Linked DNA regions of Drosophila melanogaster. Changing the gene in region 2 together with the main gene of any one other region gives a genetic interaction. Each region holds a gene or a part of one and is shown on either strand. Other genes may lie near its edges. The genes, in order: fs(1)N, tsl, gcl and trk.

Region 1 (9,112 bases), on a different chromosome or scaffold from region 2:
TATGAATGGCAATCTTATCGTTTATATACTTTTTAAACATCACCAAACCAATGTTTATTCACAACAAGAAGAATAATTACAATAATATTACACAGTTAACAAACAGCACACTAAAGATAACTAACTACATCTTATAAGCAACTCACTATCATCCATCTAAACAAGTTTACATATACATTTTAATTTAACAATCATGGGCACTGGAGCCACGGCTCTAGTAATCCGGCTACCACCACTTCGTAGAAAGTGACGCGTCGAGCTTGAACCACTGCCAATAAGTACATGGCTCCGGGTGGCCGATTGAGAGGTAAGCGTAGGGATAGTAACTGCAAGACCTCCCCATCTCCGCTCTTAGCTTCTTGGGCAGGTGCGGGGAAACGGACAAAGTCCACGAATCCCTGCACACCGCGGTAGATAAGCACTCTTATACGGCAGCATCCCTCCATAAATGCTAGCAGCGTCTCATCTCGTACCCGCAACGATGTCAGATGGCGTGCTCCATGCTCCCCTGCTAGCGTTTGAAAGAGCGATCCATTTGCATGATGCAGTTGGATGTGGGCGGCTGGCGCAGTGGAGGGCGTGGTGGGCGGAGGACCGTCTGTTGGTGTCACCACGGTCAGCCGGGCGTAAAGAAGTCGGGGACGGTTTGCTGGTCCCACAGCGAGGCGAAGTGTTTGAATGGGTCTCCAGTCGACTTCTGGTAGCGGCAAACGCTGCTCATTTCTGTCCGAATAGGAGGCAGCAGGTCCCTCGTCGTCTTCCTCTTGCCCTTGAAGCTCTCCTTTAAGGTTTCTCAATCTCTGAATCACCGCATGCAGCTTTTCATCATCCCCCGAGCCATTTTCTTCATTAGCCAGCATCAGCACATCCAGCAGCGTTTGCTCCAGAACTTGCTCCTGGAAGCTAGAATCGTTTCCACTCGAAACCTCTCGCAACTCCTGCAACGTGGGCCAGATGAGCTGGGCACTCCGTGCGGCCAGAACTCTTGCCGGCGTGTTTGGCAGTGGAAGAGTCTCTGTATCTAGACGCCGGCGCAAGGTTCGCAATTGGCGCATCAACTCCAGAAAATCCTCCACAAGGTGCTCGTCGAATAGGTCGCTTTCTGGAATACTTAACTGGGTAATGTTTACCTCCGCTTGCAACCGGAATTCCAAGGTGTCCAGCAGACGTCTCCGCATTCTGGCCATCTCCGAAGGACTCAGTTCATGTTTATTCTCTTGCCACTGTGATCCGAGCTGAGACTTGATGCTGGGACGCTGCAGATACTTAAAAGCTTGCTGGTAACTGGGATTAGGGAGTGGCTGGTTTTTAAGCTGCTCATATTGATCTTTGAGATTTCTTAGGGTGTCCGCTGATAGTTCCATGTGCTCAGTAGTGCTCTTTGTTTTGTTCAGGTTCCAGCTCAGCAGAATGGGCTTCACTGCACTGCAATTCAAGCTTGGCTCGTTCTGATCATCCTGCAACTCGTAGCTGGTCATAAAGGCAAAGTCCTGGTTAGAGCTTGTGTTTCCCACCCGTAAAGCAACTGCCTCGTCCACAGGTCCGCTCTTGAAGGCTCCGGATCGATCGAATAAAGATCCATTCCAGCGGTGGATGCGGGTCCAGCAACCTCGCTCGTTGATCAGAAGATAACTAATGCCCCCGGGTGCCTCCAAAGCAAATACTCGGCGAATATTCTCCTGATCCCTTTCCTGATTTAAATCAAATCTCCGCCGCAGCTTCTGGACCTTGTAAGGCAGGAGAATCCTGACCAAACCCTCGCAGAACTCCCGGTAGCTCTCTTCTGCAGTTTGTCGACGTGGTCGCAGCTCATCACCCTGCTTCACCTGCAGTTTCTTTACGCGCCAGTTCCCGCTTATTTCCTGCTGCTCCCGACCTCTTGCCCATAAGCTTCCTCCGTACCAAGCCCTAAAGTCAAATCCATTGATGTTCTGTTGCGCTCTCAAAAACGGAGCATGCAGAGTGTCGAAATATAGCGGCGATTGCAGCAGCACTGGATCTTCGCCCAAAATTGCCACATCGCTTATGTTTAGACCATGAACTGGAGCAGTTACCTCCAGGGGTCCGGTGACAAAAATGTTAGACAACAATAAAGGCGTATCCACTTGCTGCTCTCGCAATGGGTTAATCTGAGGATGCAAATGAGTAATGGGGGTTATTTTGAGTATAAATTGTCGTACTTAACTCACCATTAAAGTGTTGGCATACTCCTCTGGTAGATTGTAACCATTAACAGTGCCCCTTACCACCAGCTGGCCATCTAGGAGCAAATCATCTGCCTCTAGGGGATCGCTTAGCTGTTGCTCCGTGAAGCGGGTGACAACCAGTGAGAGATTAACTTCGTTAAGCTCCTCAACCTCCAAGAAATTACCATCCAGCGATCCCTTTGCAAACGCAACTGAAATGCGAATATGATTGAATGGAATTATAAAATGAAGAATCTTTTACTCACTCTCAGGCTGTTGGAAATCGCGATCGACACGAATAGTGTCCCGGAGCCACTGGCTCACATTGCATCCGTTAAGCAGCTCTCCCGACAGTACAAGGCGATCTGCTTCAAGATGATCCATTTTAACATCAGCCGCAAAGCGAACAGGTGTTTCCAAACGTATCTCTCCCTGCGAATCCACGTAGATTAAATTCTCTAGGAACTGTTCTAGGTTGCGTCCATTGAAGAACTTGATGTGAGCTCCATCTTCAATGCGAAGACGGCCTGTGAAAGTCTTGTGACCATGCAAGTGTATGCCACGCTGCTGCTTGAAGACTAGCTGATCAAAGAGTTCCTGAACGGGCTCACGGCTGCGATTTTTCAAGTGGCCCAAAACCACTAGGCGTTCTAGCTCCTTTTTTGGAAGTTCAACGACTCCCCGGTGCACAAAGCCACCTGCATTTGGATCCCAGCGGAGCAGTTTCTGCAGATCAGCAGGAATGTCCGGATCTCCGTTTACTTGACCATTTAGCTGCAGGTCCTCCACAAAGATGCGTCCCTGAATGCGGACATTTCCAGTGAGGTGCAGCGGAGATAATTTGTTGGCCATGTGATTGAAGGGAATCCCATTCAGTGCAGCCAGATGAAGCTCTTTAGTGTTAACAGGAGCCAAGAAGCTTTTGGTGCCCTCGATCAGCACCTCGTGCGCGTCGGAGCGCAGCACAATGTCATCCAGCAATTCTGGGAGCAGGCGCTCGTTAAAGCTGCCCAGAACTTGGAGGTTCTGCTGGAACTGGGGAGATTCTTTCAGAACCCAACGCGTCCCTAATTCGTTCTGCCTATCCAGCCAAACGACTTGCCTCTGAAGTTCGTGGAAGGGTTGCATGTTCAAGGTTTCAGCTGCTTGCACCGAACCGTTGACGGCGATGCGTTCAACTTGGATGCGACCCTGAAGGATCAGCAACGGGAGCTCGTCCAGCTGCTGCAGAAAATCCAGCAGAAGGTCTGCCTTAATGCCCTGCAGCTGGTTCGCCTGCACACCCTGGGGAAGAATAAGCTCTTGCACGTGCACTTCACCCGACCAAGTCCTAGGTTGCTCCTGTAGAATACGGATCAGGCTTCGTCCATTGAGTAGCCCGTTGCCAGAGACATCATAGTTAACCTGCGCTTGCCCTGCCATCAGACGACTAAAGTTAGCTCTGCCTAGATGGAGCGGTTCATGGAGCAGCTGGTAGCCACTTGACAGCGGCACCTTGTTCAAGGTGTTTTCAACTTGTAGCCGGGTGAAATTTGGGGCATGTCCAACAAACCGAAGGCGTGTGTGGGGAGAACTCAGGGGAAATGGGCTATCTAGTCGAAGACTTTTGGAGAGTAGTTCCTCTAGGCGAACTCCGTCGTAAGAGGACTCTTTCCCAAGCTCCAGCTGATGAAAGTAAACATACCCTCCCAGTTGACTCAGATTCGACAGCGTTTGTGGCGTGTGCTTGGTAACAAAGTCATTGAGGAAAATTCCACTGAGCTGATTATCTGCGATATGAGCATCCACTGGCAGAAGCAGCTGGTCAACTCGCTTTTGTCCACTTATCTGTAGTTCTTGGGCAGAGTTCGGCGAACGCTGAACGAGATCTCCTAGCAGAGAGCCAAAGCTGTCGTTATCCACCTTTCCAAGCAGCCGCAAAGGGCCACGCACAAGAAGCTGTTCGAAATGGCAGTCGGCACTGATAACACGTGACTCCAGCAGAGTGGGATTTAAAGGTGCCTCCTCAAACTGCCTTCCCTGGGCGCTGCCATTGAGCTGCTTGGTGATAGGGACTTAGTAATGAGAGCCAGTGAATAGCTTTCTAAGTACAAACCTCCAATTCTTCAGAAACCTCCAAATGCGAGAAGGTTACCAATCCCGGCCATTCCTGGGAATCACTGAGAGTAATGACATCATGCGGGTATACGGCGTTGATGGTTCCCGTCGTGTCCACAGCATTTGCAGCTATTGACGATAAGGAATCTTAGAAGGAAGTTCCTCTTTTCCGTTTAAGATACTCACAAAGCGTTTGCGTAAACTCCTTTGGCGCCTGGACAACACTCGTCTCATTTCCCTGCGACCAGAGATAGTCTCCTGGAAAGCTTAGGTCGTTCAGAGAGTGCAAACTTAGTACATCTTCGAAAATGACCGGCTGTAGAATGACAAAGATTGACTTAGCAATTAAAAACTCTGCCGAAGGACCCACTTACTCCCTCTACATGTAACTGCGAAAGCTTAAGAGGCTGATGACGCCACACCAGATCTTGAAGCAGCTTGTCCCACTCCATTTCGTTAATAAAAATGCTGTCCAAATCCGTAGCCATCTTCAGAATTTTGTATGATTCTGCACCGTGGACTGGGACGAGCTCCAATTTCGGAGCTTCCAGAAGTTCCAATTGCTGAACATTGAGGGTTCCCAGATGCAAGTCAAGGGAGCCATTTCGGATATAGAACGTCTCATGGTTGAGCTTCTCCAAGTTAAGTTCCACAGAGTCAACGGCTTCTACTTCCAGTTGCTCGTAGTGAAAGTTGAACAGCGTCTCTGGCTGGCGTTTAGATCGCCTAGAACTCATTTCCCCGTCCAACAGAAGTATCTGCTGAAGCAGGGAGCTTACATCCACAACAGCATCCGCTCCCGTCCAGCGAGCTTCATTAACGAAAAGTTCCTCAACGGTTCCGCCCTCGCTTACAACCAGTGGAGTTGATAGCTCCTCGATGTACTGACTCTCCGACTTCTCTGCCAAGAGCTCTTCAGCCAGCTGGATTAGCTCTTCCTGTTCGTGCACCCAATCCTGCATGAACTGTCGGATCTCCAGCAGGTCCTGTGTCTCCGAATTCCTAGCCAGCAATTGAGTTTCCAGCACAAAAATGCCCGTAGGAGCTTCTTTCCTGGGCACCACAACCAGCGGCGGCTGATTCGTCGAGCGGCGGAGCAGGACAGCTCCTGAAATGCCAGCCTCACGATCCTGATCCAACATGCAGCCCGCCCCATAGGCAGTACCACAAGGAGGCGGCAAGCCCGCCTCAAACGCCTCACCGTTCCAAACCAAAACCTCCAGGACGAGCAGTGAATGTGTGTCAAAGACAACTCGATGCTGGACGAGCAGAAGTAGGTCGTCTCTGTAGCTGCGCACGGGGATTGGAAGGTAGTGGTCTACAAATCCAAAGTTCTGGCCAAGAATGGTGCGTGGCACAAGCTGACCCTGCACGTAGACCAGGATCTGCGGCATTATTCCACCCAGCGCAAGGTAGCTGCGTCCGCCCATTTGGAAGGCAGTGACGCCGGCCACCTCGGGGGCAGCAACTTGTTGGCGCAAGTGCAGCGGTTGCCCCTTCGAAGTGCAGGCGTATATCAGAACCTCGTCCCACTGACCCACTGCCAAGAGCAGTTCCCTCCCTGTATCGAGAATGGCCAGGTTGGAGATCGTCTCTGCCATTTGCACACGTTGTGCGATCCAGAACTCCTCCGCTTCCAAATCATAGACGTAGATATTAAGCGTGTGATTTGCTACGAGAGCGAGGTAATCTTGTCCCTCCATGTTGAATGCTCTAATCTTGGTCACATGCGAGCCAATCGTCCAGTGCCAGATGGGTTTTAGCCCAAGACTGGGCTCCAATCGCAGCCAGATAAGCTGATCCTGGGAAGCCATCACCAGCAAACCTTCCTGCATATGCACCCTTCTGTTCCAGCGATCTGTTCCCAGCATGGCGGTGATGGGAAAGGGGTGGACATAAGACTGCAACGGAGTGAATTCCTCTGAAAGAACCAGGAGGCCCTCCTGCTGCTGACCCACAAGGAAAACGCTTCCATTGGCCTGGAGGGTCAGCCAGCGATCCACATCCGTCGGCATGCTGTAGTTGAGCAACTCTTCAATGCGACCCAGGACGAGCATGTCGCGGGTGCGCCTCTTGGACAGCTCCAGGCGCTGTAGTTGTTCCAGGTCCACGGTCTGCGATGTCGAGTGCGACTCCACCACATTGGCTTCCTGTACAGTTGCTCCCAGCACCTCCTGACGGGACGTGGACACTTGAGCCGTGCTCTCCTTGCTGCTGCCTCTTGCTTTCAGCAGAGCTTCCAGCTGGAGGACCTCTTGGTTCTGTCCCTGGTGAGCCACCGCCTGCTGAATCTCCTGGCGAATGGCGGAGGCGCTGCTCAGCGAGCTATGGTCCACCACCACTTTGGAGGTCTTTCCAAGCGGCATTTGCCCCGCCTGCTGGGTCCACGTGGGTGCCACCACCACTCCTGGCTGGGATCGGCTATGAGTGTTGATTGAAAACGAAAACCAAGCTCACTAATTTACTCACTGGTGCTCCTCCATCGTCGTGTTCCAGAGCTTTTTCTAGTTCGCTTCGCAGCTTGGCCACCTCGGCCTTTTGGTCGGTCAGGGGCCGCGGTGGGGCACTGGCTATTAATGCTGGCCAGAGCAGCAGGTGCCAAATTAGCATTTTGCACACAGTTAATTGACAAAAAACCAAACACGTGAGGCAGATATGCGAAGAAAAAACTTTAAACCGTTTACCGTTTTAAAACGGGGCTGCCGGATCGCTAGAAAAATTAGTCGCGACACGCTCCGGAAAAGTGCTGCCAGAGCGGAGCAGTTCGGCTATCTGGTCACCTTGCCTTTATCATTTTCTGGTCTGGTTATCAACTTCCCTCATTTTCATTCGTGTTTTGAATTTGCTGCGACCGGACGCGTTTTCTGTGTGAAGGCGATTGCGCGGCGCGCGTTTTCGCATCTTAAAAACGGTCGAGTGCAACAAAACGGGGGAGTTGGCCCACAGCGATCGGCCGGTCGGAAATGGGCTTTTGCTGAAGAAAAGTGAGTCCTTGGGGTTAACGGTGAATGTGTTTTTTGTGCAAGTTGGTGGCTTCTATTTTTTTTTAAGTGCGCGGCGTTTTGCTTTTTGGGCGTGTGCCAAAATCATTGCTGCTTGAAAAAGGGAGCAAAAAGGAGTTGCTGGAGAACGTGAGAGTGGGACGGAGTGAGAGAGAGAGAAAGAGGCGCAGAGAGCCTGCAAGCAATTCCCGTTTTACCGGGGTTGCGATTAATGCAACTTTTGTGTTTATATTGTGCTGCGAATTTCCATTATCTGGGCGTCCGCTTTTCGGCCACTATTACCGTTATCTAGGCCCAGCTCCTGTTTACCGTTACTGTTTGTGAGTGTGAAAAATCAATAAAATTCCCTGTGCGTGCGCCCAAGTGTGCCTCTGTGTGTGTGTGTCCAGCAGCCGGCTGACGTTGCTCTCTCTCTTTCCATCACTTCCTCACTCTCACTTGCTTCCCTAGTAACTGTTCCTGCATCAACAACAACAACAAATATAACAACGCAGCTGCTATTAATTTTGTTGTCAAAAAACGAACAAATTGCGTGAGTTAGCTAAGCTCGCGTGTTTAATTAGTTTAAAGTAACGCTAATGAAACTCGGCTAGCTCGCTGTTATTGTCTTACCAAAACCGCTGCAAACAAACGAACGAGCGAACAAAAACAAAAACAGCAATTTTAATGGGCCGACGGTAAACACAGTGCGCGAATAAAAACAGAAACAAATTCGTAGAAGCTGTGGGTGAAGTAGAAGATGAGAACTAATTTCTAATTGCATGATTGACACTCGCACTCCTTCCACCCGCCCCCGCCCTTCCACCTATCTCACTGATGCATTAATCCAGTTTGTTTTGCTTTTCTTCTTCGTTCTGCTCGCACTCCTTCCTTCGCCCAATTTCGTGCACTTTTTGGGAATCAGGGAACTTTGGGGAGTGACTCACTCACGTTTCTTGCCGAGTGTCATAAGCGTGACTCACGGCCATGACCCCGTCCAAATGTGGCTGCCCTCCCACTCGCGCCTCCTTTAAGTGCGTCCTTGAGATACAAATCTCTCTCGAGTGGACACTTAACATGCGAGGAAGAGATGGAGAGAGCAAGAGAGAGGGAGGGTGAGAAGGGAGCGACTTGAATTCTTCCTTGGCGCCCATGCCGTCACTTTGGGGCGTGGCCAGTGCCCCCTGGCGATGAGCTCACCAGCAACAACAACAACAACAAAAACAACAAACGCGCATTTCCCCGGGCAGCGTGGATAAAAGCGATGATGCAGGGGGCGGAGGAGCAGGCGAGGTGCACGAACTTGACATTGAACTGCGCTCGGGATTATGATCCGCTCGGAGACTCCTCCTCGATTCGCGTTCTTTGGAATCCAGAACCCGGACATCAGATCACGATTTCGCGTCATCGTTCTCGCTTTTGGTGTTCAAATTCGGGATCGCACCCAAACTGTCTGGAATACTGGAATCAGTGCTCACATTTGAAAAACACATGAATAACTTATAAATGCTTTTTCAATTCCTAAGCATGAATTACTCACTCACTGGCTTCTTTTAACTCTAAATATTTGTTCTACATAATCTCTCACAAGCTTGCTGCATTTTGAATTCCACAAACCTTGTACCCACCATTATAGACAAGATCTTCAGGGCATTCCAGAATCCTTGTGGCCGAGTCCAATAAGAGATGCTGCCGCCAGCTGGCTTTCGGTGTGGACTGTCAGCAGCTTACCTAAACAAAAAAAAAAAAAAAAAAACAGGCAGCAAAGCTGGGAAGCCAGATCTCTTGAAGAGGTTGGTGCCCTTTTTGGGCTGCGCCTGCGCACAAAATTCCTCTGCGTCCTCTTCG
Region 2 (8,497 bases):
TAATCCCCTGAGCCGCCAGCAGGTGCGTAAGTTTGCACACCAAATGTTCAAGGGGATTGCATATCTGCATGAAGCGGGTCTCATGCACCGGGATATTAAACCCGCCAATCTGCTTATCAGCGATACAGATATGCTTAAGATTGCCGATTTCGGACTGGCCCGTCTGTACTTCCCTGAAGACGAGTCGCGCCTTTATTCGCCTCAGGTCTCAACCCGGTGGTATCGAGCGCCAGAGATTCTATTTGGCAGCCAGAAGTATGGAACCGGAGTGGATATGTGGGCGGCAGGTTAGCCATGACTCTTTGATGGGTTTACATATATCCTTATGGCTGACATTATTGCTATCCAGGTTGTGTTGTGGCGGAGATGCTACGCGGAGTGCCCCTGTTTGCGGGAACCACCGACATCGAGCAATTAGCCATCATCATTCGCACTCTGGGCAGCCCACGTCTGAATCAGTGGCCAGAGCTGACTTCTCTGCCGGATTACAGCAAGATACGGTAGGCATTCTTACCGTCTATGATTACTTAATCCGTAATATTCTTGACGTAGGTTTCCCAACTCCGTGGGCATTCACTGGGACAACTTGTTTCCCAGCTGCACACATGCGGTGGAAATCAATCTGGTCTCGAATCTGGTGGTCTACAATCCCAAAAACCGACTCAAGGCCAGCGAGGTGGGTTCTGCTTCAAGTTTGACACCGGTTAGGTATTATAATTGGTAAATTCTATATTTCTCAGGCCGTCGAGCATGATTATTTTCATTAATCTAGGACTATTTACACGGACATTGCTAGCAACTAAGAGTTTTCGGATTCTTTGAATCTGCAAGGTAGAATGTGTGTGATTAGTTGTGGAAGTGAAGGAATATGTTTATCAGGACACCTACTTGCACTTAAGGCAGGTAAAGAACACCGTCTGGCCTTCGTCCGCCGATCGAAGCTGCAGGGTGGCATAGGACATCTTGTCGTGGTTGCACTTGGGACACTTCCTCTCCACAACGGGGCCATCCGCGTCCGATTCCGACTCCCTTTTCGTCCTGTTGAACACCTTGCTGGGATCGTAGGTGTTGAAGTGTATGGTAAACTCGGACTTCTCGCCGCTGTAAACTATTTTTAAGTGTTAAATAAATTAAACAAAGTTGTAATTTCTGGATTTACCATCTGGCTGAAACTCCTTCTTGCAGTTGTAGCAAATCACATTGCCCTTGACTTGAAGCTCGGGCAGAATGGAGCCGCAGGAGGGGCAAAAGCCCGGACAATTGGAAAAAATATCCATGCCAGTATATATCACCCAAAATCAAAATCAAAATACAAAAACCGCACGTGCTATTTCGGATTTCAGTATGAGCGTAACTGAACCGTTTGAAATATACCACACGGTATTAAAAATATACTTGATTCATATACTAAATACGTAAGGGTGGAAAACTAGAATAAGTCTGGTTGAAAGCCTTGATGAAACGGGTAGAGCCGTTTACCCGTTTCGATTACCGGTTCTTAATCAAAATCAATTATTCAAAATAAACTTTCAAAATAGTATTTGATATTCATAGCCAATATTACGTAATGAAAACAGTTAGATTTTAATAGCCAATATCAAGTTATGAAAACAGTAAGATTTTTACTTTTATCTTTACTTTGTATTAAAGTTTACAAAACTATTACATCAATAAGGCGATCTTACGGTCTAGTTAGCTGAAATGCAAGTCGGATGTGTACTGTGTTCCAATTAAACTACCTAAAACTATCACAGGCAGAACATTAACTACGCACTAGAGGTTCCTAACTACAACTAAGCATCTAGGAACTATTGATCCTTGGCTGCCACATATCGCACAGTATATATATATTTAAAATGCAGCTATCGGGTGGGATGACTCTGCGGCATGTTAAGCTCCCAGAGCTTCACATTGTTGTCGAGAACCTCGTGGTACCAGCTCTCCTTTTCCGGCTCCTCCCGGAAGATGGGCTTCAGCGACTTGAGGTCCAACTGCAGTATGGCATCGTTGCCGAGCAGCGAGTCCAGGGATCGCAGTAGAGTACTATTACCGTGCAGTTTCAGCAGGGTCACATACTTGACCACATAGTACTCGTACTGCAGCTTCCTTCTCGCCCATCTTTCCACTGTAGCATTGGCACTAGCCGATCGAATCTGGCCCAGATGGGCGGCAAACCAGGGCGCAAAGTAGTTGTAAAGATCCAACTTGGACAGTCCGTTCAGACCTTTACTCTTGATTCGCTCCTTGATCATGCTGTAGTTCTTCCTGCTGTACACAAACACCTGATACAGCGAATTGCCGGTGGTGTATGAGTTTACGTAGTGGGTGCCCACATCTTCCATAAATCGCACTGCGGAAGTTATATTTCCGATTTGCAGTTGATCCATTCTCGATCGCACATCCGGCTCCAAGGGTTGGTGCACCGGAATCTCAGCGTTAAGACGCCCCGTTTCCCTGAAGCGCACCACCCTCACCAAAACATACGAGTAATCGCCTTGGATGAAAGATGTATTGATGCCCAGCTTCTTGGCCGCATTATCCGGAAACCATCCGCCAGTAAATGCCTCCCACGGTTTGTCCATTCGCTCAATGGAAAAGTCACGGAAGTAGGCCTGGAACAGTTGCCTCCGATTCTCGCAGAACTCCATGTGAAAGTCTCCATGAAAGATTCCGGGCGTGGTGTCTTCATGACTCTCCGCCAGGCCACTCAGATTCTGAAAGAAAAAAATCATTAATTATCTAATTGTCTAGTCAGCTCAATTATCAGGTAATAAATATCAAGTGACATACTTGAATAATCGTATATAATGATCGTTTTCCTAAATCTGATCAAACAAATATAATAAGCGCTCATTCTAACGACAAACGTGGCGGAAGTGAACAATATAATTACAACTAAAAATAGTTTTAAGTGATAACAACTTTAAACCCTATTTTAAAATTTTGATTATACTCCAAATAATTATGGTGATTGTGGTTAAAGGTTAATACAAACAATTCCGAGTTCATCAACGCCATTTAATTTATTAAATGTAAGCTTAACTCTGCCTTAAGTCCCTTACCCTATAGATGTTTTTGGTGGGCTCCTTAAACACCCAGCGATCCGGCTCCGAGTTGTCATTGAGCGGTATCACACGCATGGAGATTCCCAGGTAGCCATAGCGCAGGAATATATTGATGGCCTTGCCGATCCGGAGCTGGGACTCGCGACGACCTCCATCCGCCAGGAGCGCCAGGGTCAGCAGCCAGAAAAGGCCAGGCCACGACCGCATCGCTCAGCATTCAAGGTTAGATCTATAGAGGATTATAATAGAAATATTATATTGCAAATTTAAAGCGATTACACTTGAATTAGGCAAACGTTTCCATATTCCATATCCATATAATCCCTTGCTATAAAATATTATTGATTGAAACAAACGCAACCTATTCCGATCTCTTATAAAATTCGCAATTTAACAATAATGAGGCATATCTATCCCACAATAATTTATTCAAGTGACTAGATAACTCTTGATTGCAATGTGCATATTGATGACAAGCAAGTACAAACAGCGCTATACCATCCGAACTCATTACTCACTTAGACTAAAACCGGAAAGTTTTACAGCAAGCTACTTCGGTGGTTTGTTTATATTTTATAGCCAGTGCAGTAGTTGCGATACAGTGGGGTTAACTAAACAGCAATAATTGCAGGGCCGCCGTGTTTGTTTTCCACTCCATAAACGGGCGATAATATAAGCGCGCTCTAATTGGCCATGAACCTTCAGTGGCGCTGAACTTGAACCGACCAAGTCGACTTGGGTAGAGGCCACCAGCTGGTGGTGATGATGAGCTGGAGCTCTGCGTAGCTCCACTCTGATCACCTTAAGTGGATGCAATTAGCCGCAGGCTCTGTGGCCGTAAAAGCAGCTACAAAGTATAGCCATCAAAATTGGTTCGGCTGTCGCTTTGACTTGCAAATTATTTCCTAAAAACATTTTGCATGCCTCGTAACCGTTTTCCTATAGTTGGCCCACTACACTTCAGAGGACCGGTTATGCCGTTTTTGTTTTTTTTTTTTTTTTTTTCTGTCCAAGCATTATGGCCGGCAAGGAAGCCAAACAAATTGGCCCAAGCCAGACATATACACACATTCTAACAGCTTGGCGAGGCAGCTTTTAATTCGAGCCGTTATCACAGAACGAGCGACGTGTTTGATGGGCCAAAAACACAGAGGTTAGCCGGGTGTTAGCCACGTTTGTGAGTCACACCTGTCGACCCGACGCACTGAAGCGCAGCACCAGACAAAAAAAAAACACAAACGCAGCCATGATGAGACTCAAATGTTAACCATTTACGTGAACCATAAAATGTAGGCGTCGCTAAACTTGTCCAGCAGCAAAAACTAAACAAAAAACAGCAGGAAGAGTGACTGAATGAAACTAGCCGTGAATGGAACAAAGAAAAAGAGACATTTGACTACTGCATCTTGTCTATACTTGCCTATAGTACATATATTACTGCCCATGGGCGCGATTCCAGGAAATATTTGTTTGCACATTTTATAAACACATGAATATTTGCTAAATGCTGCAATCAGCTGTCTTGACCTTACAGATGAACCTCACAGATTGCAATCACTCTACGGATTTAAACATTCTGACTCGGCATAGAATACGATTTCGAAGGCTTCCAACTTCTGGCAAACAACTAATGCCCAAATGAGCTTAGTTCTCCATCGCGAGACCCAGAAAATCAAACTGTCGCACAATTGCCAAACTTGAGGTTCAAAATTTGAGATCCGCTTGAAAGGCATGTGTTATGTGACTTAATGATAGTTAGTTTTGTCGGTGGGGGTATTGACAATAGCGGACGCATAACCTTGTGCAAAAGACCCCAAAAAAAAAAAGAAGCCGCGAACCGGAGTTCGAGATGAAGAAGACGAATTAAATCAAAAATTCAATGCGCGCACTCGGACTCCAAAGCAAAGGCAACTAAAAATCAACTCGTTCAACTGTGACTCCCTGTGCACTGGGAGAAAAGAGTGTGGCTATCTAGGACTAGAACTGAATAAGAGAAGAATCAGTCAGCTCTTAACTCCTCTTTTGAGCTATTTGGAATCTTATTCCAATTGTTTATGCTTTTATCAGATTTAAATCGTTATTAGATTTGTTATTTGGCCTATATTTATCCAATAAGATTTTATAATGTGTATTTTTCTTGGACATCCTAAAAAACCTGCATACATTTCTCTCAGTGCTTCCCACCGTGGTTGTCCGCGGCCCAGTCAATTGGAGATTCTTTATGCGCATTTCATGAGCTCTTTTGTGGTAGTAGTCTGGAGTAAACCCCGGGCGAAGGGCACAGACGTGGGGCATAAGGTCTGCAGTTTATATCGCGCTTAATTTTATGCTTGGTCCGTGTGCGTTGTTTCCTTGAGCGGTGTTAAACAAAAGTTGTCTTGACTGCTGCTGAGGTGCTGCTGCTTTTGCCACTTTTGTGGTAGTATTATTTACCTGCACGAGAACTCGAACGCGAATCGAAATTGACGTAACCATCGGCCAGAAGCGGCTTGTTTTATTTTCGGCAGAAGCTTGAAGCTCCGGCTAATTCTATATGCCAGTCGACACAAATCCGCAGGTCTAGAGTTGTGGCTCGCCACTGGTTAGCCTTATCGCTCTGATACCGGGGGCCATTGCACAAGGCTGGTTGGCTGGCTTTATGGCTGGCATTAGCATCGTTAAGACTCCGATTTTTAACGCTTTGTGGGTCAGAGGTCGGCGGCTTGGTTGGCGCCCTCAAGTGATAAGACGGATCTATGAATAGATCGCTGTGGTTCGAATTACATGCGTTTGCGCAGATTTCAACAACCAACAACGTACACACACACACACACAGGCAGTCGTCAAGTACCCTGAACGGCAAACACTAAAACAGACTTAAAACACACTAAAACGAGCGACGACGTGCCTTCAATTGCAATTATAAGCCGGAATTTGCGGCAGCACTTACACTCAAAACGCGAGCAGCACACCTTCAAGCGCGAAGACTCAAAACCTAACTGAAACTGGCTACCAAAAACTCGATCGCCGGAGAGAACAAGCCGATCCGTTCAAGCAGCTACAGCAGCAGCAACAATATATGTTGCGCTACGACAGCAACATGTTGCTGCTGTGCGTCGTGTCGTCTGATCCAACCGAGCAACTGGCAGCAGTTGCAGTTCAATGACTGGCAGCCAGCAGAAGTTCTACTCCTCCAACGGTAGTGGCTATGGCTAATGCTAATGGCCTGGCACAAATATCTATTGTTGACATCTGCCGTTTGGGGGGACAGCTTTTCCGCTTATTAATATTTCCGAGCACGTCGTTCAACTTCCAGTTTTCTTCAATGGCGCGGGGAGTCGGAGGGCTGCCGAATCGAGGCAGATTGAAATGATTGCAGTTTACCCGGGCCAGACTTGCGCAAGATTCCCATAGAACTGGGCGGCCAGTAATCAAAAACTTTTGGTACTACTTGTGCAAAAAAAAAACTAATAATGAGACCAAAAGTAAGCCGAAAAATAAAAACGAAAACGAAAGTATCAAATTCGCATTACCTTGAAAACATGCTAACAAATTTGGGTCAACTCAAAGTGTTGGGCGACAACGTTTGAAGTTCGAGTGTAATGTTTCAATTAGAAGCTCAAGATACAAATGTATCTGTATCTGTATCTGTTGCTCAAAGAGCCATGGCTGCAGGGCATCCGCTTTGTCGCATTTGCCTTGACTTCCAATGGCCATTGGGAATTTCTGCAAAATTCGCTGCTGGCTTCTAAGAAATGAAAAGGTTCTGATTTGAAGTCTTTTTTTGCTGCTGATATGGGGGGGGGTCTTTCTTTTGGAAGAGGCGTTGGGGGAAGGGCTTCCGAAAAGTATTGCAAAAGCTGGTTGAAATTGTATCTCTCGTATATTTTTCTCTTTTCATATATAGAAGTTCATTTTATTACTTTTGTTTCGGTTTCTGTGTGGGTTTTGCTTTGTCTTTGCAGCATGCATGATTCAAAACTTATGTATTTAAAATTCGGTATTTCAGTGTTTACTCGTTTTTATTTAATTCTCATTCCAGTTTCTTCGGTTCTTTTTCATTTAATTTATTATTATTAATCCCATGTTTAAACTATGTATATATAATGACATTTTTATCATTTATTTTAAATGATATTTACTAACACCGCGGCCTTCTGCGCCCCAAACGATCGATCGATCTGCCGATCCATTCATTTCACTTCATTTATTATTATAATAACAATTCACTCAATTAGCTCAAATCGCGTCAATCTACACATATTGACATTGGAGATCATAAGCATTTTCAACTCATCTTTACCATCGTTACCCTCGGTATCATATCATCATCATAATGATCATTGACTTATGAAATTAGAGAAAAATTCTAATTCATTTGGTTTACGCGACCGTGTTCATCTCACTTCTGCGTCTTCCTTTTCTTTTTTTTTTATGTAATATCAACAATAAATTTTTACTTAATCTTAGTGTGAAATTATTCTTAGAGTACAGCTACAATCTGCTCGCATCGGCTAAGAAAAAAGGATCAAGTAAAAGTACGAAACGAATCATTCGAAATCCTAGCTCAATCTCAGGATACTCTCTGTCGGTATCGTTTTCTTTTTTTACCCCCCATTTCCAATTCATTTCAATCGTTCCTAATCATTGTAATACCGTAAAATATAAGATTTTGATTTGAGCATTCTTTTCCTAATCATTTCATCGATTTTTGGTGTTTTCTGGCACACTTAGCCTGGTTGGGGGAGCTTCAAAATGTACATACATCTATCTCAAGCCGTGTCATCTATAAGGTTCCTCCTCCTATCTGATCTCATCTCATCTCATCTCGTCTCGTCCGTTCGTTCAATCTATCGTTCGCTTTAAGGTATAATACTTAGTTAATTTGGCCACTTGGCTGCATTTGTGGTTGTGGGTAGGTAGTTAGTTCTTCAGTTTTTCGGGTAGGTTCGGTTGTTCTTCTTTTTTGGGATACTTCTATGATTTGCATTGCCTCTCCTTAACTTCATCGCTGCTATCTTCATCTCATCTTCATCCACGCTCAGAACCGAAAAGTTATAGCCCAGCGTCTAACGATAATACTCTATGCAAAATTGTTCAACCATTTTGAAACCATAGAATTGTTCTGGATATAAGTATGTTCTTCAACTTGTGTGGTGTGCGGTTGGGAAATTCAAGTGGGTCGTGTGGTTGGGCTCGAATATAAGCTCAGGCTTAAATTGTTTTGAGGGACAGCTAGAGAATTGTGTGGCACGTGTATACAAATGTGTGTTGGTTAACTACTAAGTTCGATCTCCAGTGTTTGTGACATATCTTCGATCCGATCCTAACCCAAAGTAACTACGTGTTCTTGGGACTCATCAACTACATGTAGTATGTGATTGCTTGTGAACTTCGTAGACGTAGTCTAAATTCTGTTTCTGTTTCGTCCATCTCAGAAGCTCTATGTTAGG
Region 3 (8,336 bases), on a different chromosome or scaffold from region 2:
GTACTTTGATTTAATTGTTAGACAAATACATATATGTATACATATATATTTTAGACTCGTGTATTCAGATGATTTCAAATTTCTCCCAAAATGGGACGTGCTGTAAAAAATAATAGAGTAAGGTCGGCCCATTGCAACAGTGCCGCCAAGGCGACGTCAATCAGTGGACATTCGATGCTAAAGCAAAACAACGATTGCAATGGACGCAACCCGTTCTTTCAGTTTCTGGCCTACTTTCGAAAATGTTCCAACAACTGCCTTGGCCACTTGCCGTCGGATCGGGTAACTCTAATTGCCGGCAAGGTGTGGAATTACATGAGTCTGTCGGAGAAAGAACCCTTTATCGCTGCTGCGCGAAGATTTAACTACACGTATCGATCGCGGAGCAGAAAAGTCAACTGGGTCCTGGCGCAACTGCGAAAATCCGCTGCTGGGGAAGAATGCCGACCACAGGCACAGTGGATGTTGATGAACTTTTTAAAGTCTTGGCAGGAATCTGTGGTGAGGAACCTTCTCGACCTGGATCACAATCAAAACTAAATCAGAGCAGATTTTTATTAAGTGTAATCTTTAATAAATGATCACTCAAGGTAATAGTTACTGTGCGTACATTTAGCGAGTAAAAATGTGTTAGGGACAGTAATTACATGCGTTGAACTTGCAGGATTCGAAGACGCTTAAACCATAATTTCTTTGCCGCGTTTTTTCTTGTTACTTAAACATAACAATTAATCTTTAAATTCCAAATTTACAAACTATTTGCAACGCCTACATATTGTGCGAGGGCACTAGAGTGTGCGTCTACTCCATTTAAGTAGATGACGTAAAGCGTCATTACATGATACTAGTGATGTAAACGATATACAAAAATATAGATCTGCGCATTCCAAAACGATTGCGGATATGCTTATACTCGATGTACAAACGTCTAGATGGAGTGATCAGCCGTAGCTAATCGCGATGGCGATAAACGAATTTACAAAACAACTACAACGAGCCCGAACTGCTGCGGGTAAATGAACAAAAAAATGGTGGTAGTGGTGGTACTGGTATTGGTTTGGTGGACTGCTCAGCACGTGCTCAGCACGCCAGTTGTCCGCAGATTGCGCCCGTTTCGCTAGCCGACCAAGCGATTCTGGGCCGTGGGGCTGGCGAGGATGGCGTCGAAGGCTCAGAGTCACCAATGAAAACGGCCGAATCATCAGCACTGGACGGGGACAGCGGTCTGTCGCTGTTTGCTCCGATTTCCGAAATGGGTATGGAGAGAGAGGTTGTCGCCTCCTCGCTGAGCGGAACAATTTCCTTGAAACTCTGATTCGGTGGCATTACCACCAGCATGTTTATTGAAATGAGAAGTGGATGCACCAACTTTGGGTCTAACACCATGAGTGGCACCTCCTCGTTCTTTTCGAGGCTAAGAGAACAGATCTCGGACGTTTGGGTGAAGACTGCCTGGCGCTGGGCGTTTATCGAGGTCACCGTGGTGCGGACCATGAACTTGCGTTTCGTCTGCAGGCTAAGCACTCGCTCGTGCTCGTGCCGGTGGTGCCGACGAATGTTCAGTCTACGCGAGTCCATGATCAGGATGAGATCCATGCCAAAGTTGAAGCCCGTCCAGCGCCACTTCTGGTAGCCAGGCTCAAGCAACATACGTCCGCATCGCATGCAGTTCTCAAAGAACTGCTCATCGTCCAGCTGCTGAGGACTACTGTGAATGCAGAATAAAAGGATTTTAGTTTTTAATGATATAATTCCAGGAGAGGCTTCAGAAGACTTACCAATCCTCCTGCCCATGATCGATACGTAGTAATGCATCCCAGTGGTTGTGAATGTGCCGATACAGCCACTCCTTGGGTATAATATTGTCATTGTATATGATTTTTAGATCCATGTAGTGGTTGGTCAGGTACTGGGTTCGTAGCTTCTGAAAGACCTTCACATAAGGCTGCCCCTCGGGCGTGGCCAAGAACGAGCGTTCCTCCGAGCGGCTGGTAAAGTATGTCCACTGGACGACATCACCACTAGGCGCATGCGTTTCCACGCCGGCATTAACCAAAAGCTCCTGCGTCTTTAGCGCCTCCGCCCGCTGGACCGGGTCCTCTGGATCGTAGTCGGGATGCAGTCGTAGGAACATCCATGTGCGCAGTAGAGTGTACAGCGAGAACTCCGTCTGCATCACATACAAATCGGGACTGGCGGTCAGGGCACTCATCAGCTCAATGGAGATGTGCCTAAGCAGGTTCGGTTGCTTACTATAAATGCTTAGCAGATTGATCTGGAACCACTGAAAGGTGGACTTCTTGACTCCGACCACACCGTACTGGCAGGCGGCCTCGTAATACTGGATAGCTGTCTCCGGACTAATGTTATCCACCATCACCTCGGCACACTTGTCGATGATTCCGTCTAAGTGGAACAACGTGGCTGTGGCCAATACCGAGATAACATCTGCTGACTCGATTTCGATCTCATCGGAATACATGGAACCAAAGACAGCATCCAGGCTAGCAACGGTGATCCGGTCGTCCAGGATTGTGATCTGAATGAAATTCTGCTGGGCTTCCCGCCACGTCCCATTGAACATAGTATAGAAGTATGGACTCTGGCTCAGGTACACCTTATGCAGGTGCCAGACCTTATCCAGAGCCATGACAGCCACATCCGAGTTCTTTTCCTCCTTGAAGAGCGCCTTGTATATGTACTGGGTGGTAGTAAGAAGTTTTTTTCTGCGGAAATTAAGCAGGTAAATTAAATTACCTTAAATTAATTAAGGTAACCACTTACTTTTTGGGCTGAGTGGTGTCTAACTGGGCCGGATCATCCTTCCCCAAAGATGAATCAGTGCTGCGCTTCCGCTTCCGTCGATTGCTGAACACCTCAGCGACGTTCATATGCATGGATCCCACTATTTGACCCATGGCTGAGCGCAGGAATTCTTACTCTGAAACAGCATATATACAATTTTTTTTTTAGATTTCCCTACATGAATAGAGTTTACAATAAAAATGCGGTCTGTTATCGATCTGACAGATTGCGTGTTGATGGTGCCCTCAATGGAACCAGTTGACCCAGTTTCATTCCGCCAAACTGTAACGCCAGCCGCTGTTAAGGCGGGGAAACCTTTCCCGGGTGGGCGAACATTAGTGTGGGCGACTTTACAGGCCCTAAAACCAAGTGGAAAGCGCATCCATTCATAAACAATGGTGATGTCATAAGATATCTGAGCAGCGATGCTCGGAAAACTTAAAGTCATTTGTAGATTGCAAGTAACTGAACTGATATCTAGCTTAGTCTTTTTGATTAGGTACGCAATAAGCCCAAGACTAATTATTAGATTTTACAAGTCATGTATCTTAGTATTTTAGTTTTTAAAGGTGTGTATAAAGGCAACATTTATTTTATTAAGGTCGACAAAATGCAATTCAATTTGTAGAGTCTATTAAGATTGTGTGCATGGAATACATAATGTAGTAAGAAACAGAGAAGCATCCGTTCAAAGCGATTTTAACGACCTGAACCGCACTGTAGCGCAAACATATTTGGGTAATTTTAAAGGGGCGGGACTCTATAATTAGAATGAGATCAAACGAGCTCGATTCCATGCGCGTATATGTTGTGTTTATGCTTTGCCGCCAAATGCTGGAACTGGACGAGCTGATGTAACCATGTCAAGGCCGCGTTGGAAGCTACTGCTACTACACGTATATATGTGTATTTGCTGCCCATAAACAATCAAACGGACGCTTTCGTCACCTCATTGGATCTCATTGATATGGGCGACCGGACAGTCTCGGACTATGGATATCTATTCGGACGCAGACTAAGCATAAAATAATGATGATGATGATTTTGCCGTGGTGGAGAAAGGTTTGTTTTGGTGTGGCGCAGTTCCGAAAACAAGAGTAGTGTTCCAAACCGGTTCCCAAAGCGTGTATTTCTTATAAGACCAAAACAAGACGATTGCAGCGCTTTAAATTACGTCACCACTTGAAGCCAGAGAGCAGAGAGAATTGAAGATTGAGAGGGAAACAAACAAAAGGGGGATGACCAAGACCACCAAACAAAGCCGGACCTCCAAGTATAACCCGAGTTTCCAAAAGTCGTAGTTTAGAAATTAAAGGAAGGTTTAGGGTAAACATACATGTTATTATAGTCAACTATTTTTAATTTTTTTGAAACATTTGCAGTGCCTGAAGCTTTTGTTTCGATGGTGGTAAGATAAAGTGCATTTCCAAACGATTTTAAAACATGTTTAAAATAAACTTAATAACAAGTTTTCACGCTTGACAGATTTTATCTACTGCACCTTGGGGGATAAGGTTTGCTTTCGAAATGTATCATCCGGAAGTTTAAGTTTATAAAAACGTAAGCATATGATCTTCTCTTTGAAGACCCACTCCAAACATTTTTAAAGGAGGATTGTTCCACTTTTGAGATAAACTAAACACATGTAAGATACTCTTTTTTTTACACATGTAAGTTAGGGAAATGACAAAAAAAATTAATGTAGCCCAAGGAGTTAACGGCTAAATAACGTGGGTGATCGTCGGAAGAAGCCAACAAGCATGGGCGGAGACTCGAACTCGAACTCGCGCACTGATTTCGTAGGGAATTCCAGTTGCCTTAGACGACTGAGCCACCGCGGCTGGAAAATTTGGGACGTCCGAAATCGGAGAAAGGTGTTTGAAGCAGGTTAATATATGTGGTTAACCTACAGATAAGGCTACAAGCAGCACTCTTTTATTTATGGATGCAAAATCAGCTGATTGACAGCTTAAAACGCTTATTTACGATGGCCTGTTGTTTGGCCCTGATAACACGCGATTAGCGATATGGAAAACGGACCACCAGACCATCAACTTTTTCTCACTTTATATCCCCATGTTCCTGGCTGCGAAGTGCAGTTAATCCGCAGCTATAAATAGCAAACAAAAGTGAATTCGGTGGGTGACGTAGTTGGGAATAACAGAGAAGGGGTGGGATGGATACGTACTAAAGAGATAGAGAGAGAGCGACAGAGAGCGCGCTAACGAACGACGCAAAACTGAAGGAAACAAGGTACACAAAGGGGAACTGATAAACGAAACTTACTGTAAAACTGCAGTTACAGTGCCGTACTTTTATATAACAGCAATTGCACCCCACGTTCACTGGCTTCGTTTCAATAAATAAAATAAACACGGGCTAAAATTCTACGCGAGTCTGATTAGGCATGCGGTTTAAGCCATTTCAATTCCGTTCGCTGTCAATTTTATCTCTGTTTTGCTGCAGTTGGCTCTCCAAATCTTTTAGTTATGGTCACCCTACGATAGCAAAGCATGTATTTTGATTGCATCGCTGCTATCGATGTTTGCGGATTGGCGCTTTAGCGTTCGCACCGGTCACACTTACCGTACTTTTTAAAATTAATATTTACTTTACGATGCGGAAGCACAAACCTATCTTGAGTTGCTCCTTTCGAAGTAAATTTTAAAAATAATATTAACTTCAATAATAGTAATAAAAACATATCAATTTACATTTGGGGACACAAAATACATAAACTATGAATATTTAGAAATAAATGAGCTTACATCTCTTCGTTTTGTTGTTTATTTATATGACATCTAATTCAAAAATTATTGTATAATATCATGATATTTGCGAATAATGACTCGTATAAACGTTACCGTTCTGCAAAACGCATAATGTCAGTGTGACCGTGTTGCGCGGCATTTTACCACTTTCAGAGATTAGTGCTCACGGGTTTTCGTGCTGCGCAGCAGTTAAATAAAATTGAATACATCAAGAGCTGCAGATATAAATCGGAGTTGAAAACCAGTGCAAGTTGCATTGGCCCACAAATCAAAGGTACGCCTTATAAAGGAGAGTGAATCAATTGCCGAATTAGTAGTGCAAAAGGTCAAAGCATCAGTCGTGAAAAAGTGGCACACATAAATACAAATGCATACATACATACTCGTAGATGCAACACACACCTACACCTAAACACACATACACACACAAACACACATCCGTGGGAGGAATAAAACACCCACAATTGCTGATTATTTTCTGCACTCGTTATCGTTATCGCTTTCGTTTTCGCATTCATTTTCCACAGCCGCAGTTTCGTGGGGCGTGCAATGTTTAGGATCCACCTCAAGATGGGTCCCCAACGCAACCAGCTCCACAGCAACAACAACAATGGTGCCGCCGGAAGTAGCAGCAGCACCGGAAACCGTCACCTGAAGGAGTTCACCTGCTGCTTCGGCCTGCATGTCCACACGGCCACTTTGATGATCGGATTGTGGCACCTGGTAAGTGCATCAAGGGGGGTATCCTTTAATCCATACATGCGTGTGTGTATATCGAGATACACCCACGCATGCAGTCCTGCGGCATTTGCGAAAAACCTTTGACCCTGCTCAGTGTCACGCAAGGGAAAAATCAATCAGCCAATGACTGCAAAACTTTGCGAAGACGAAGACGAGCCAACTCTGCACTTTCCCCGCCTGTGACGTCAATTGGTGGCTGATTGGCCGCTGCTGCGTCATCTGATCAAATTTAACTACAGTATAATTCGCTTAGCTGCCTCGAGTACTTTGCACAATGCCTCGATGCAGGTAACTTAAAAATGCAGCTAACTTAATTTTTTTTTTTCTATTTTCTATTTTCTATTCACACAAAAAAATGGAAAAATAATGCAGATATCTTGCCGATGCAGCTAACTATCGATGCAGCTAAGCGAATTATACTGTACTATCATCGGGGCTTTTTGGCACAACAACTTATTTCTGCCATCGGTTCCACTGCGGAAGTTTCCACATCCCATGTCCATTGTCCGAAACTAACCTTTCACAAGATCTGACTTCGCATTAGCAATCGCTACACTTGGAGAAATGTAAAGCATTGTCGAATTTTCAAAAGTTTCATAAGAAATTAGTTTTATTGGCTAAAAAAAGGGATATAAATGTGCAAAGTGCAGTATTTTCAGTCTTGTTATCAATGTTTTTGGAAACCCAGAAACCTTTGATGTCTCTTCTGAAAATGAAAGAGAATGCTCTGCCCTTAAGAGAGCGCGAATCTGCGGCCAATAAAAGATTTGAGTCGTTGAGCAAAAACCCTTGCTTAATAGTATTTGTCTCACTACGCTATTCGTGTATATTTTACACTGTTCCGCTACTTTCTTTATGCTTTGATCAGGTCACGTTTTCCAGTAGAAAACTCCGTCACATGGGTTGATTATGGTGTGGACAGCAGTGGAGTTATCTTTTCTAATCTGTCCAATCTCAAGGGTTTCTTTGTTTACATTTTGTAGATATGTATGGCGTTAGAGGCTTTAAAAACAAAGCAATTCCGCAAATCGAAGGTTGCTTGTTGTTTGGTTGACTCATCCCCAGAGTGACAATTGTTGATATACTGCGGCGCACTGCAGATTAAATTTCATGATGAATTTCTGATGAATAATTTAACTAAAGATGGCAAGTTGCCGCATCTCGGGTCGTTGCAAGGCCTTCAACCTGAGATACTTAGATACTGAATCGGATATCCAACGGCAGCCATCTGAGCAAACAGCAACCAGAAACATGAGCGTTCAAGTTATTTTTAATAACTACACGTACTCGACAAGTGATGCGAAAATATTTACTCTTGTGGTGGCTTACTCTTGCTTTTCGGTAAGAAAGATATATTCTTCTGGAACAACATTCTGAAGCGTGCTGTCATAAATCTGAGAATTGTTAATTCAGCTGTCATCTATCAGCACACAGGCTGCAAATCAAATCAGGCGAAGCTTTCTTATCTTCTTTTTTGCCAGCTTATCTTCATGAGCGGACCCATGCACCTGCTAACGCACTCGAAATACTTTTAAATGTTGAGCTATCATTAAAGTCCCCCCTCGTGATCCTTGGGAATCTTTGCTTAGTTTGTGACGTTTACAACTTATTCACATTTTTATAAATATTGTTCTGCTCACACAAAAGTCTACATTCCCCACTACTTCCAATGAAATTCCATCCGGAGGAAGCTGTCCAACTGGTGAAGGCATTTGCGAGATTCGAATGCAATGCCCCACACAGACGACACATTTCCGGAAGGCAGTTCTTGTTGTCCTATTGACATTGTTTCCTCAAATAAAGTCATCCTGCGCGGCTATGCTTCTAAGGCGAATAAGGATGTCGAAGCGGTGGAGGAGCTAGAAGAGATACAGGAGATGAATGATGAGCTAAGGGATTTGTTCATCAATACAACTGCCATCAATTGCTCGTCCCTTTCTGAACTAAAAATCCAGACTGACGCTTTCAACACCCTTAAAGAGCGTACACTATTCTCATTGGGATACTCGACAGCCGGGC
Region 4 (4,934 bases), on a different chromosome or scaffold from region 2:
ACTTGTTTTGCTTGAAGAAGTCTTCGTTAATTCGAAAAAAACAAGCAATACGTATGAAAAAGGACACAATTGGACTGTCGAAAGGCCTGTCTCAGAGAATCACTTTCCTGGAGGGCCAGCTCAGTCAAGCACCATTGCCAAGTATTACATCCAAGCGCCGCCAGCTGTGTTCAATCGAAGAAGCTTGGAACCTGCCAATATCATTAGAAATGAACTCTCGCCAACAACAAACAGCGCAGATGCTACCAAGACAGGTCACAAAGCAAAGTCCAGTACAGGTGAATTCCTTAATCCTAAACCAATCAGTGGGCAATCAACTAAATCATGTTTTTAAACAGGGACCGCCACCACCTTATCCGCATAGCCAACTCAGCCAAAGTCCCATACCTTCGAAACGTATTAAGGAAGATGGCACAAGCCAACAAGAAGTAACACAAAACAACAGTCAGACATCAGCGCAAAATCTAATAAGTAAGTGACCAATTTAAATAGTATATATCTTAAAGTATTAAATCACTTTTTAACACTCCAAACAGACATTTCGGAATCTTTAAACCAGCGCAACTTCAACGCCATGCCGGAGAGCAACAAAAGTTCGGAGCAAAGTGTTCTTGACACCTTCGACGACATCTCGAATGATATTTATAAACAGAATGAGAGCATCAAGCTCGAACGTTTGAGCCAGGATGCACTGAGTAACAATGAGGACTCGAGGCATGATTTTATTGGCGGTGACAACGCCGACATCTCGACCACGTTCAAAATACAAATGGACTCGAAGCAGTTGATGGTAGCTGTGAAGCTGCTGCCGATTGATGAACCGCCCGTGCACTGTACCATTTTGCAAGTGAATGCGCCGCCGCCATCTCCGCCCGATTGCCCACCGCAGAAACTGACGCGAGATCAACTCCTGCCTCCCACACCCTCTGTTCATTTAGAAAATAAGAAGCACGCGTTCAGCCCACAGTTGCAGGAGTTTTGCCTGAAACATCCGATTGCCGTTGTACGCGGCTTAGCGGGCGTCTTGAAGCTAGATCTCGGTCTCTTTTCGACCAAAACGTTGGTGGAAGCCAACCCGGACCATAGTGTTGAGGTTCGGACACAAGTGCACCAGTCTCCCGATGAAAATTGGGACACTTCGCAGGGTAAGCGCGTCTGGGCCTGCATTTCCCATCGGTCTCACACAACCATAGCCAAATATGCCCAATATCAGGCATCCAGTTTTCAAGACAGCTTGAAGGTAATGTTCGTTGGGTTGGTTCCTCTTTAACATGAATACAAGTTTACTTTATCGTGTAGCTTATTTTACCGCAGGATGAAAGCGATAAAGGTTTCCCCGGCTCGCAAGCAATGTCGGATTCAGACTCAAAGGACTCGGTATCCAATTCGAACATTGTTCTCAAACGTAAAAAACACAAAATAAACAGCAAAATGTTGAGGTAATAGAAACTCCAAACCATTTATGTCTGCATTACGAACTTTATGAACATAAATTAAATGCTTATTTCGCTTTTTTTTTTAGGTTCGGGACCAACGTGGACCTCTCCGATGAAAAGAAATGGAAACCACAATTAACAGAGCTACAAAAACTGCCAGCTTTTGCGCGAGTTATATCCGCTGCCAATATGCTATCACACGTGGGCCACGTCATTTTGGGCATGAACACCGTTCAGCTGTACATGAAGGTGCCCGGAAGTAGGACGCCTGGCCACCAAGAGAACAACAACTTCTGCTCAATCAACATCAACATCGGTCCTGGCGACTGTGAATGGTTTGCCGTCCCTGACGCCTACTGGGGCGGAGTTCACAATCTTTGCGAGAAGAACAACATTAGCTATCTGCACGGCTCGTGGTGGCCCGTCCTGGAGGATTTATACAAGGAGAATATACCAGTTTATAGATTTATACAAAAGCCCGGTGACTTGGTTTGGGTGAATGCCGGGTAAGCACTGAATATGAAAGGAAGGATGATGTATTAACAATCAAACCTACTTTCAGATGCGTCCATTGGGTTCAGTCGATCGGTTGGTGCAACAACATTGCGTGGAATGTTGGACCCTTGACTGCCCGTCAGTATTCTCTTGCCATCGAGCGATATGAGTGGAATAAAGTGCAGGCCTTCAAGAGCATTGTGCCGATGGTGCATTTAAGCTGGAATCTTGCAAGGAATATTAAAGTGTCTGATACCAAACTTTTCGAGCTGATAAAGTGAGTTAGCAAATGATAGGAATCACCATTATGCAGATACTATAGGGCATACATATGTAATTTGTAATTTTCAGAATGTGTTTGCTGCAAACGTTGAAAAACGTATTGCACATACAAGAGTATGTCAAATCGAAAGGTGTGGAAATACGTTTCAATGGACGCGGAAAGAACGAAGCATCCCATTACTGCGGACAATGCGAGGTATTTAGCGTAGTATTATTAACATATTTATACAGTTTCCAAAGGTGATATGAATGCAGTTTATTTAATCATTTGTGCACTCTTTGCAGGTTGAGGTTTTCAATGTGCTGTTCATCAAGGAGCAGGAGAAACGACATGTGGTCCACTGCCTATCGTGCGCGCTGAAGCTATCTCCGTCGCTCCAGGGAATCGTTTGCCTGGAGGAGTATCGTCTGTCTGAGCTGCAGCGCGTGTACGATTCGTTTACTTTACACAGAACCCAAGGACTAGCATACACTCAGTAGTTGTAATACGAGGAATCATTTTAAGTAATGCAGATTTAATATATGTATATTTTACAACGTACAATATACTCTCTATTGTTTTGATAAAACATAACGGTACGAATATATAGAGATGGGATTTTTCGAATAAAGCCATCAGAGCAGTTTTTTCGGCTATTATGTTTGATAGTCGAAAAAACTGGAGCCCACTTGAGTAGCGAAACTTACCTTATGATGACAATTTTATTATGACTTCAAATATTTAGACCCATCTTTTATAGTTTAATTTAAAAAAAAAAACTTTAAATTTATCCAAAGTTTAGAATGCGTTTTAATTATATATATGAATAAATTTAATTTATAATCTTTCGCAATGACACTGAAATTAAAATCCTTCTTTTTATTGAATTGGCTGTTATTACTTTAGTACCTAAATAAGTTACAGTGTAGAGAGCAACGATAACTGCTGTAAACACGATAAATCAATTGGTTGATATTGGTGTAGCCCTGTTTTTAGCCAGCCATGTTTCTGCGTATACTGTGTCCAACTATGAAATCCCAAAGTGAACTGGCCATTGTGCTCACTTGGTTGGCAGTGCTGGGGACGGCTCAAGATGATGCCGATTACTGCGCCGAGCTATCCACGCAGTCGCTGGCCAAAATTCTGGGACAGGCATTTAATCCGCGCTACATGAGCATCGATCCGCCGGGCGAGCCCGAGGAGAAGAGCTATCATCTGGGATACAAGCGATCGTCGTACGAGCTGCCCTTCTATGCGGACAGTGATGCGATTTCGGTTAGCCACTTTCCCGCCTGGGAGACCAACCACTTTGCGCTGGTAGAGAAGAAGAAGGAGGCACCGAGGAGCAAGAGTCTGCGCACGAGAAGCGCCTTCATGGATCGTGTGGGACATCCGAGAATCGATGGGTTCAAGCAGCGGCCGTGGGAGTGCTCGTCGAAGATCAACTGGATTGACTTAGGCTTAAATTACTTTCCACGCTATATCCGTTCGATCGAGTGTATTGCCAGAAAATGTTGGTATGATCACTTTAATTGCAAGCCAAAATCATTTACAATAAAAGTACTGCGCCGTAAAACTGGCTCATGCATTCGAATAAACGATAAATTGATTTTGATCACCGCAGAGAAGTTTGAGAATGATTATACGCAGCTCTGGATTTGGGAAGAAATAGCGGTTAACTTTTGCTGTGAATGTGTTATGCTATACTAGTAGCGCCATTTAATCAAGATTTAATTAATATACACGTTTAAAATGTCAACAAAAAACTTTAATAGCATTGGGAACAACAGATACCTTAATGGGTCTTGCATCGTACTCCTCGCCATCGATGGAGTAAAACTTCTCGCCCATTTCACCATCCGGATGCAGTTGAATAGTCCTGCTCTTAACCACCAAGCTGGGTAAAATTTTGCTGCACGTGACTTCCGGAATTTGTTTGATAAACTCCCAGCCCGGCTGCAGGGAGCTTATAAACTGACTTTCCAGCTCCGCAAAGTTATCCTTGTTCTGAACACAATTGATGTTAATCTGGCTGGCTTCAGCGCTTCCCTCGAACTTCTTGCTGCAATTGTCGTTCTTGACGAGCGGCCTCTTGGTTTCACCCGGATTATTCTTGTACTTAATGAGGCCTCTGGTGAAGAGGCCAGAAGGCTGGGCGGTCTCCTGGCGCTGCACAGTAGCAGCACAGTCAACGCAGCCAGGACACGGCGGTGTGTACACATAGTCGGTCTTAAGGCTCCAGTTATCGGCAAAGGACTTGGACGCAGCGGAAGCGTAGTGTCGCAGTGGTCCAAAGTACCAGTACTTATCCTTTGCCGCATCGATGTCCTCCAGCAGACCCCAGGACAGACCATTAAGACCGAATATGGGCTTCAATTGGCTATTGCTGCCATCTTCTTCATTGATCACATCAAAGCGGATCACACTCTGGTACTGGCTCTCATCCTTGAGCATAGGTTCAAGGGCTTTCGAAAGACTTTTCACATAGTCGACGTCCTTGACGCCAAAGATGTTGATGCGCTTGGATGCGGACTGCACCGAACGTCCCAGCGGAAGGATGGTGATCGGGCAGAGATTGCCGCGCCTACGCATCAGCCCAGTGACCACCTCCGATGAGGTGCCGTCGCCGCCGGCAACAACAATGGCATCGGGTAGCGTTGCCAACTCCTCCACGTAGGTTTTGGCATGACCAATGTGATTCGTCCGAAGGATCTCCACCGAATATCCAGCTAAATGCAAAA

Evidence for each region.
Region 1: of tsl (region 2) and fs(1)N, changing one suppresses a phenotype caused by changing the other (phenotypic suppression), as found in Drosophila melanogaster (one study listed by BioGRID).
Region 3: of tsl (region 2) and gcl, changing one suppresses a phenotype caused by changing the other (phenotypic suppression), as found in Drosophila melanogaster (one study listed by BioGRID).
Region 4: of tsl (region 2) and trk, changing one suppresses a phenotype caused by changing the other (phenotypic suppression), as found in Drosophila melanogaster (one study listed by BioGRID).

The regions. Positions count from the first base shown.
Region 1 is NC_004354.4:1,320,355-1,329,466, reverse strand, and holds fs(1)N (female sterile (1) nasrat), read right to left. Parts: upstream 6,955-9,112; 5' UTR 6,894-6,954; coding exon 6,753-6,893; intron 6,695-6,752; coding exon 4,658-6,694; intron 4,600-4,657; coding exon 4,470-4,599; intron 4,413-4,469; coding exon 4,282-4,412; intron 4,224-4,281; coding exon 2,453-4,223; intron 2,399-2,452; coding exon 2,190-2,398; intron 2,130-2,189; coding exon 192-2,129; 3' UTR 29-191; downstream 1-28.
Region 2 is NT_033777.3:21,776,490-21,784,986, forward strand, and holds tsl (torso-like), read right to left. Parts: upstream 6,048-8,497; 5' UTR 5,995-6,047; exon of another isoform or gene 5,499-5,994; intron 5,417-5,498; exon of another isoform or gene 5,229-5,416; intron 3,295-5,228; 5' UTR 3,273-3,294; coding exon 3,063-3,272; intron 2,715-3,062; coding exon 1,863-2,714; 3' UTR 1,625-1,862; downstream 1-1,624. Other genes in the region: CG6800 (uncharacterized protein), read left to right, coding at 1-287, 350-500, 553-724; Polr1H (RNA polymerase I subunit H), read right to left, coding at 800-824, 889-1,108, 1,160-1,277.
Region 3 is NT_033778.4:8,721,220-8,729,555, reverse strand, and holds gcl (germ cell-less), read right to left. Parts: upstream 5,299-8,336; 5' UTR 5,092-5,298; intron 4,916-5,091; exon of another isoform or gene 4,871-4,915; intron 4,652-4,870; exon of another isoform or gene 4,491-4,651; intron 2,942-4,490; 5' UTR 2,919-2,941; coding exon 2,785-2,918; intron 2,727-2,784; coding exon 1,779-2,726; intron 1,709-1,778; coding exon 1,081-1,708; 3' UTR 557-1,080; downstream 1-556. Other genes in the region: CG30356 (uncharacterized protein), read left to right, coding at 91-540; CG30357 (uncharacterized protein), read left to right, coding at 8,048-8,336; CG14767 (uncharacterized protein), read left to right, coding at 6,126-6,299. UniProt on the Drosophila melanogaster protein: Required for the specification of pole cells and germ cell formation. Mothers with reduced glc function give rise to sterile adult progeny that lack germ cells.
Region 4 is NT_033779.5:10,270,471-10,275,404, reverse strand, and holds trk (trunk), read left to right. Parts: upstream 1-3,080; 5' UTR 3,081-3,195; coding exon 3,196-3,903; 3' UTR 3,904-3,948; downstream 3,949-4,934. Other genes in the region: Utx histone demethylase, read left to right, coding at 18-278, 339-471, 537-1,240, 1,300-1,439, 1,523-1,942, 1,999-2,208, 2,283-2,409, 2,499-2,693; Mulk (Multi-substrate lipid kinase), read right to left, coding at 3,949-4,934.